Linked DNA regions of Kluyveromyces lactis. The protein of the gene in region 1 binds, or shares a complex with, the protein of each later gene. Links are inferred from orthologs where the notes say so. Each region holds a gene or a part of one and is shown on either strand. Other genes may lie near its edges.

Region 1 (4,282 bases):
GTTTTCTTGGGGGCATTCATTAGGCGCATGTCACATGCTCTGTTGAGGAATGAGTGGAAAGCCACACTTTTTATTGCGGTACTTTCACTTAGGCTGATGAAAAGATCGGTGTTTGAAGTTCCTGCTGAGAGGTTATTGTGAAAGTGTCAAATGATAACGCACATTAACGGGCTGCCTTTTGATTCCTTTGCCCACAGAAGTGGTCCATTTTGTTTCAGAGATTTAACCACAATTTGTTAGTGTGTTATTGTTATCTTGTTGTAGTATATTTTATGGAGGTTATATATATATAAGGAATAACCTTTCAGTTGTTGACAAGGCCTATGTAATAGATTCGAGGTTGTCTGTATCTTGTATTGATAAGTTAAAAAGTGTAAGAAAGACGTCTCATAATAAGGAGTAACACAGGATACCGACCTCCGAATAGGCTTAACAAGCGCCTACTACAATATACCCATTAGCGTCCCCGTTTGACAATATTCAACAATGTTCACAGACAATTTTGGAAAAGCCAAAGATACGCAGCAGGTTTCCCAGGTGATAGTACAATGCTTCAAAAGTTTAAATTCAGTTCCCAGATCGACTCCAGACCTAGAGCAAGACTATTGTGATTCTGATGAAGAGGAAGATTTGATCGTGGATTTAACGACAGGGTCGTTAAAGCCCAGGAATTTGAAGAATTATCTACTTATGAATGAGGTAATGAATGGCCTAGAGAGCCTATGACGCTATGGTATTAAAGCCAATAAGGGGGTTTCACATCTACTTTATTGTGTCTACCGAAGATTTGCATACCAGAGAGATGCATCTTTTAATGCCTTTACTGCCTGGCTTTATCTCTCATTTTATTTTCATTTCTTTCGACTATATAGAACATATATACTTTTTGGGTAATTTAACAGACGGAATTCATTATATATAACATATTGGAATTAAGTGTTTCAAACAGGGAGCCAACTCAGAATTGCATTAGCAGCTGTTCCCTTGTGCTCAAGTAATTACTGCTACATCACAATCCCCCAAAACTACGTATCACTACGTACGCTATGTCACTTAATACGATTTTAGGTCATCCCTCACCTCTGAAAATTTCTTTATCCTTGAAGTAAACAACTAATTGATGATAAAGAACTAACGTTTTCTAAGTTGATGCAAGCAATGTTTCGGCTTATATGATTTGTCGTATTTGTCTTTCAGTCATACTATCAGCAACTGAGACCAATAAAAGTATTCATACAGTGCGTAAAGTGGGAAATTTTTTTATAGATCGTTAATTGATTAGTGTGTTTCTTCTTTCACAATCAGAGAACAAGGACACTCACTCATCTTTAAATTATTTCTCAGAAAAATACCATTGAACCAAAACGCTACGACTTTGGTATTATCTACTTAGAGATTACTTGTGTCATTGAAGGACATATTATTTTATTCCTAGTCAGCTTTTTCATCAATTGTCACCTCACTTGATTTCCTGACCCACTGATGTTTGGTGCTTCTCGACCGGCATTTGGACAGACGAGTACTTCTCCTTTTGGCCAACAAACTCAGTCAACAACCAATGCGTTCGGTCAACAGCATAGTGGAACCACAAACAATCTGTTTGGATCCAGCTCTGCCAACAACGCGCAATCAGGGTTTGGTGGGTTTGGTACCGGCGGCGCTAATACAAACCCTACGCAAACTATAAATTCCCCATTCGGTATGTCACAACAGCAAAATACAACTACTTCTCCGTTTGGCGGGGCAGCAGCAGGAGCAGCAGCAGGTAATTCATTGTCGAACCCACCATCCCTGTTTGGTGGTAGCCAATCTAGTGGTACAGCGACAGGCGTTCTCTCTTCTGGACCTCCTTCTGGCACTGGAATCAAGCCATTCCAACCTTATACGGAAAAGGATGTGTCAACTGGATATCCATCGGTGTTTCAATCTATTACTTGTATGCCTGAATATAGCCTTTATTCGTTTGAAGAGTTGAGGTTCCAAGATTATCAACAAAATAGGAAATTTAGCACCACTGCTGGAGGTCCGACAGCTTCTGCTATTGCTTCGCCATTCGGTCAACAACAGACAAATGGTACTAACAACACTTTTGGTTTAGGAAATAAAAATACCATCAGTGCAGGTGGCGCAACTCCCTTTGGTCAACAGCCTGCAAATTCACCTTTTGGCCAGCAACAGCCTGTAAATGCATTTTCACAACCTAATAACACTCCCTTTGGCCAACCACAGCAGCAACAGCAAACTGGCATGTTTGGACAACAGCAGAATAATTCTCCATTCGGGCAAAATACTGCTTCAAGTTCTTCTCCATTCGGTTTAAACAAACCGGCTACCTCTGGAGGTCTGTTTGGACAAAACACCACCAATAATAATTCCGCATTTGGTCAAGCCAACAACTCATTATTTGGTCAACAAAACCAACAGCAAAACCCAGGTAACGCATTTGGTCAAAATACTGGTTCAAACACCTTTGGGAGCACTTTCGGCCAAACAAACACCAACAATCAACCGGGTGGTTTGTTTGGACAAAATAACACCACAGCGGCCAATACTGGTGGACTTTTTGGTCAACAAAGTAACGCCAATAACGCATTTGGTCAGAATAATAACACCTCAGGTGGATTATTTGGATCAAAACCAGGTGGAACTACAGGTGGCGGTTTATTCGGTCAGCAAGCACAGAACGGACCCTCTCCTTTCGGTCAACAAAATGCTGCTAATTCTACTCCATTCGGTCAGGTAAACAATACTCAGGCGGGTGGATTGTTTGGACAAAACAACACCAATACTGGCGGAGGTTTATTTGGACAGCAACAACCATCTAACACAAACAGTACAGGATTATTCGGACAACAAAGTAACGCAGCTAGCACTGGCGGTCCTTTCGGACAACAAAATAGCAACTCCATGAATCAACAGGGCGGAGGATTATTTGGTGCGAAGCCAACTACCGGTGGCCTGTTTGGATCAAACAACCAAAGTCAACAAGGTTCAACTGGGTTATTCGGAGCTCAAAATAAAACTGTAATGGGTGGTAGTTCCGCGCTGTTTGGTCAAAATAATCAGCAACAACAATCTGGCGGATTGTTCGGACAAAGTAATCAACCGTCTGCAACGGGGGGGTTATTTGGTAATCAGAACCAACAAACACAGCAACCTAACACCGGTGGTTTATTTGGTCAGCAGAACAACAGTATGGCAAACAACACCGGAGGATTGTTTGGTGCAAAACCAACAGGAACTACTGGTGGATTATTTGGCCAAAGTAGTCAGCAGCAGAATACATCTAGCGGATTGTTTGGTCAAAATAACAACCAGAACAACACAGCAACGGGGGGTCTATTTGGTCAAAACAACCAGCAACAAGGTCAATCATCGGGTAGTCTCTTTGGTGCCAAACCTTCCGGCACTAACGCTTTAGGAGCTACCAACGGCGGGTTATTCGGAGGCAACACACAACAGCAGAATACGGCTACTGGTGGTCTATTTGGTGCCAAACCAGCTGATAGTGCGTCAACATCTGGTGGCCTTTTCGGCACTAAACCAACAGGTGGTTTGAGTAGTACCACTGGAGGTGGATTATTCGGTGGAAAACCTGCCGGAACTGCACCTTTTGGCGCAACAAACACGAACAATGCCTCATCAATTGGTGGCGGAAGTTTATTTTCTGCGAATAAGCCAGCAAATACTGGTTCGACAGGATTATTTGGATCACAAAACAACACTTCTGGTAATGCAAATACAGGTGGTTTATTCTCTTCATCTTCCTTGCAACAAAACCAACAAATGCAAAACCAGCAGCAAGCAGCACAAGCGAACTCCAATCCATATGGTACGGATGAGCTATTCTCCCGTGTTATCTCTATTCCTAATTCCATTACTCAACCAACTAAGCCTAGTGCCACAATGGTTTCTGCAGACTTGAAGAAAAAGAACTCCCTCTCCGCAGCATACAAGCTGCTTCCAAAACCCTTGTTTGACTCTAAAAAGTCGGAACCGAACTCCAGAAAGGTTAAAATTCATCTAAAACTATCAAAACCCAAGGAGGAAGACACTAGTTCGACTGCTCTAACAAGAAAGCCTATGGATTCTTCAATTTTCACTGCATCTACTGATGAGGCTATTTTAACTACCGGAGAACTCCTCTTTAATCCAGACAAAAAGTCTTTCAAAAACCTTATCATCAATCGCCAAAAGATGGAAGAAGATGATACCTCATCTGGTGAATTGAAATTCATAATCTTCAATACTGACGACGGACCACAAAAGAAAATGGAACAGA
Region 2 (5,740 bases), on another chromosome or scaffold:
GAGTGTTTTCTCTCAGCCACTGAGCCCTGTCCAAATAACTACAGACTTCTCTGTATGTGTGGCTCGGCTATGGTTGGATTGAATAATGGTTAAAGGGAAGAACCAAGACCTTTTGGGGAGCAATATACCAAAAATGGGCGATGCGGCTATTCAACTTGGCGAAAAAGAGTATCCAAAAAAGTGAGATATACGCAAACAGATGAACGTACTCAGGTCAGTTAAATGTCAGTTGTGCCTTTGTCAGTGAGTCTTTTGACCTCGCCTGTTCTTTAATTCTTGCCTTGAACTCTTTTCCATTTAGCAATGATTTTCTTCTATGAAATGTTCTATTAAATAATGGTATAAATACATGTGCACAATTCTTGAAATCAACTGGAAAAGAAGATATTATCAACTGCCTCAGTTATCTTCCGGGCGGAACTGAGTTAGTCATCGTATAAGCTGGAGGATCAGCTGTTCTATTCTCAAACTTCACTTTTATAAAGTATCCTTAAGTTTCCGGTATCCAGGTAATTGTAGTTTCTCTTTTGCAATTTCAATGTCGGTATGGATATCTGCAATCAATGCGTCCTTTGTGGTGTAGTCTAACTCGGGCCTTATATACCCTAAGAAGTTGAATTTGATTTGGGCACCGTAGAAATTATCAGAAAACTTGTGGATTATGTGTAGTTCTACCGTCTTGTTTTTGTTCTGGTAGAATGGGTTCCAGCCAACAGAAAGTACCACTGGAAGAACTGCTAAATCTTCGTCATTTAGTAAGGTACCGTTATTGTATTGGACCTCTCTGCCATCGGGTCTTTGTTCCACCTTGGTGTCACGGTCCTTTGCCATCCTTACCTTACACCATCCAAAATAAACTCCTGTGTCTAGTTGCTCCACGATTTTTGGTAAATCATCGATGGGCACGTTCGCTGTAGGAATTCCTAACTCTGCTGATCCACGACCGAAACCAGCTATTACATCGACGAACGATGTGGTAATTGGAAAAGGAGGTTCAGGTGAATCCGGTATCGAAACGTCACAATGCCTTGTCATTGCTCTAGGTCTTACTGCGAGTTTTTGATGATCCGATCGTTATTCGTTTGTATGATAACCACATGGAAGTATTCACAAGATTCAAACTACGTTTTTAAAGGTTCGAACTCTTTGAGTATAAAGACTGTTGCAAGTAAGAATAAGAAAGAAAAGGGTAAATGGGCACGTGAAAATGGGTTCATGGTTTGTTCAACAGTTGCGGAGTATTTCTAGGCAATGAGGTACGCTCTCTCTCTGGAAATATTTGAATCCTCATTATTAAAGTTTTATGAGAACATAAGGCATATACTATGCCCTGAACACATGATGAAAACGAAGATCTGAAGGTATACATACATATATATATATATATATATTTTACTAGAGAAAACTCTAGCCGTTATGCTGCCATATCTGGGAATGATGATATTTGATTTGTATTATGCCATTCCTCGTTAATAATGCGGAGTCTTGCTGCACCAACGAATTTTTTGTCAGCAACAAGTGCAGTTAAATCAATCGAAATAACTTCAAGTAGTTTTGTTGCCTGAACGTTGTATGCTTGGAGCAATTGTGCTGCCGCAGCCTCCCACCAGTAGGCAAGAACGACGAAGTGTGTATTTGTAAGTAGATCCTTTGGAGTGTTGCCGATTCTAGCTAGCATTCTCCATGACCAAGAGATTGGGAAAGGATGCACAAGTTTCTGAATGTACGTTTGCGGTAGAGGTAATCTTGTGATGACAGCAAACAAGGTAATCATACCACCCATCCTTTCATCATATGAAATATCTTCTTCCCATCTGTTGTCACTTTGACGTTTCCATCCCATTCTGGTTCTTCCTTCGACTGTGTCTATGCTGCACGTGTAACCGATAACAAACGGACATTTCTTGATGAGTCTCGCCAGTAAGAACTCTTTGAGTTCCGGGTATGATGCAAGAAGACTTAGCGCAAGTGTTCCTAAAGGCAAAGCGCTTTCAGGTTTCACTCTGGCCTCAGATTCTGCTTGGGAAACAATCGCCTTAGCTATAAAGTTTAGAATCCATTTATAGGCTAATTGGTTAGCCTTCGTTTGAAGTACCAGTTCGGTAAGTTCATTGGTGATTGCATTCAATTGTGCAGTACTGTTGGTTAATTGTCCGAATTTTGGATTAATTTTCCTCTTATGTTGTGCTAAAGTTTTCTTCAAGGTGGGATCCGCCTTCACCGGTTCAATTATTTCTGTTTTAATTGTCTGAATCATGGTTTTGTATTTAGTAAAAGTTTCTTCGATTAACTTGAAATTTGTAGATTCTTTGGACTGTTTAAGTTTATTCCTCTCCAGTTGTTCTTGTTCTTGCTTCTTTTTCAGGGCTTCTACTCTCTTCGCTTCTTCAGCTTTCTTCTCCTTTTCTGCCATTTCTTGAATCTTCCGTTTCTCTTCCTCCTTCAACTTCTTTTCCATCTCCTTTTTATGCTTCAATTCTTCTTGTCTGCGCTTCTCCGCTTCGCATTCTTTCTGGATACGTGCTTCCTCTTCCCTCTTCTTTTTATCCTTTATGCTTTTAATTAAACGTTGATTCACCTTTTCAATTGAATCAATTTCCTCATTCCACACAGATTCAAGCACCTGGTCTTGCATAGGAAAGGTGTGTTGTTCCACCTCGTCAATCAAATCCTTCTTCTCTTGGTAATAAAGTTCTGCTTCGTCAATAAGAACAGGGCCTAAAGCTTTATTCTCGTGACCTCTCGTTGTAAGATGCGGTAGTGCATTCCTTTCAAGAGTGATATTTAAGTTGGAAAGCATTGAAACTATTTCTGGTTCTACCACATCCTCTAAAGAAATTGTATCTCCTGAACTAAACCCTTGCTCTTCACCTTGGCCGTCATTCTTTGAAGAATGGTATAATTTCGGTAGTTTTAACTGGATCCCATCAGATGGATCGCCAATATACGTAAACTCCCCGTCTAATTCATAGTCAGAATCACTGCTGCTGGTATTCTGACTCTGTTTCCGTTCAGCATTCTCGTACAATTCGTCAAATGAGAACCTCATCTCAATTGTCCTGATATGTGTCAATCGCTTTCTTTACTTTATCAAATCGGTAAAAAGCTCAATTCAAGTAAACGATTCGGGGTTAAGTTCGACTGTTATTACCTAAATGGAGAATCCAGCTACGTGTCTTTAAGTACGGGATCAAAAAAAAACGGCTGCAATGCATCAACACAAGGGCTGAAAGGTCAACACTCTCTATAATCATCAACTGAGCTCTACCTGGTTTTTAATCAAATTTCACTTTTTGTTGATTCTTGTCACGTGACGTATATTGAATTCTCTGTACTTGAAAGTTTTAAAAATTTTTCGACCTTTCGAGCTAAAGCTGTAAGATAATGATAGAGATTTGATCAGTTTCACTCGATTTAAAGCAGTATTCCTTCCCATTCGTAGGTTTATACATTCATTCGTTCGCATCTGTGAGAAGATACCAAGTGATAATGCAAGTGGTACGTGGTTTCCACAGTAGTTCAAAGGTCTCCAAAGCTGCTTGTGCTTTGGTTAAGCCAGTGCATCATTTGGTTAAGATCGACAAGAGCAAGCTATCCCCAAGGTTTCCTGAATTGAAATATAGTAAAAACGATATTAGATCTCCAGCATTCAAGCCTGTTGTTACACATCAAGACCGTGTTCGTGAGCATTATTATAATACTTTACAAAGCGATTTATTATTGATAAATTATTCCCACAAAAGCCAAACGAAGCTCGGGTTGAAGCAAAGAGAATGGGACGGTTCTTCTCCATATCACATTAACAGAGAACCCAGAAAACCTAAGGGCTCAAGTGCTCAATTGCCAGATATTCATCCAGTAACGTGGAAGAACATTCCAGACATCGAGTCCGTTGTTATTAACTGTTACGTCAGAGATGCAAAAGAGAACCAATATCTACCAATTTCAGCAGCATTACAATTGCAACAAATTACCGGGTGTAAACCAAAGGCTTTGTTCTCTAGGAATGATGTTCCGGCCTGGAAGGTCAGAAGAGGTACCCAAATGGGTGCTGTCATTACATTGAAAGGTCGTCCAATGTCTCAGTTCTTATCCACTTTGACTGAAATTGTACTACCAAGAATCAGAGAATACAAAGGTATCTCCAACAAGTCAGGTAACAGATTTGGTGGGTTATCATTTGGTATGACCAGCGATGAAGTCAGATTTTTCCCAGAGATTGATGCTAATCAAGATCTTTGGCCAGTAACTTTTGGTATGCACATCAACATCAACACAACTGCCCAAACTGACGTACAGGCTAGAACTTTGGTCAGTGGATTCGGTTTTCCTTTCAACGGTTCGGAAAAGATCAATTAATGCTCCCAAGTAGTTTTTATCCTGTCTTTCGTCCTGTAAATAACACTCACTAATAGGATAAAAAAATTATCAGCATTATATGTATATGACTACCTTTATACAAATGTCGACGTCTCTTAATGTACACTTATATGTAATAGATTTCAATAAGTAAAAAGTGGCATATATATTGCATTACAGGTAATTGGTGAGATCAAAGTCTTCAAATTATTAACCTCAAACACGATCAACACTAACGATATTCATAGTTCTTCCCATTCTGGTAATATTGTCACCATTGGTTAAAGCTAACCCTTGGGTCTTTGAACGAATACGGATTTCACCAACAATTTCTTGTGTGATTGGATCCTTCTCTATGCACAGGTTAGCCAAAGCGTCCTCGCCAAATGTAGATCTAGAATATAAGTTACAACTTAGGAATCTGGAATCATTGTCGCCGAGTGCCTCTTCAGGGGTTAGAACCTTCATATGTGTAACTTCCACCAACTTCTCTAAATAACCGCGTAAAGATGGTAATTTGGATTTGATACGAAGTTTATTTTCCCATTCAAACGCATTCCACATCTTACGGAAACTGTTATCATCGCAGATTGCTGGTTTCACATAATCCATTGTGTCGATATGAACGTCATTCAAGATGACATAACGAGAATCTTGACCGTGACCACCATCATATATAATGTTACCGAAAATAACACCAGTATCTGCTGAGGACACCTTTGCTGTTATCGTAATTTTGTGGAACCCATGTGGAATAACGTTGGTGCTAGGTGGGTGGTCAATAATTTTTAAGTCACCAAGAGTAGCGAATTGAACATGTAGGTTTTTCAAAGTATCCTTGGTTTGGTTCACTAATAGAACATCTAACACAACATCGAATTGGTGATTAGTGATATAACACTCGGCATAAACAGGATCGCTGAAACCAGTCAATGGGACGATCTTCTTCAATTTTGAAGTGATAGAATTAGCTTGTAGTTTGGAATATGATACAGTACCGGTGGTAGCCAATTTTATATCTTCTTCGATTGAATCGACGGGGGTATTGTGCAAGCCTGCATTCTTAAATTGTCTGAAAACGATGGATTTATCGATGGCCTCGGCGTGCTTGGCTAGGTAGTTTGATCTCTTGGCAGCATTCTTCTTCAAAGTAACATTGACTCTTGATTTGTATGATTCGTTGGTAGCTTCCAAGAATGCCAAACTCAAAAGTTCTTTCTCTGCTTGACTTTCTTCGGTAGAAATCTCGTCCATCAATACCGAAATTGCCGTCATTAGTCTTTCAGCAGAGTCCTCGTCAATCTTCTTTTCTACTAAGTTACTTTGACCTAATCTGATGATACTAACCAAAATCAACAACCCTTCGGCCTTTAGGGCGTTA

The links. The genes of interacting proteins can lie anywhere in the genome.
Region 2: NUP116 (region 1) and GLE1 share a complex: the UniProt entries of both Saccharomyces cerevisiae proteins name them as parts of the nuclear pore complex. The link is inferred for Kluyveromyces lactis from reciprocal best matches to the Saccharomyces cerevisiae genes NUP116 and GLE1.

The regions. Positions count from the first base shown.
Region 1 is NC_006042.1:2,465,765-2,470,046, forward strand, and holds the start of NUP116 (FG-nucleoporin NUP116), read left to right. Parts: upstream 1-1,482; coding exon 1,483-4,282. Other genes in the region: KLLA0_F26686g (uncharacterized protein), read left to right, coding at 487-726. UniProt on the Saccharomyces cerevisiae protein: Functions as a component of the nuclear pore complex (NPC).
Region 2 is NC_006039.1:1,324,437-1,330,176, forward strand, and holds GLE1 (nucleoporin GLE1), read right to left. Parts: upstream 3,050-5,740; coding exon 1,415-3,049; downstream 1-1,414. Other genes in the region: FMN1 (riboflavin kinase), read right to left, coding at 478-1,035; MRPL7 (mitochondrial 54S ribosomal protein uL5m), read left to right, coding at 3,490-4,359; SEC26 (coatomer subunit beta), read right to left, coding at 4,576-5,740. UniProt on the Saccharomyces cerevisiae protein: Functions as a component of the nuclear pore complex (NPC).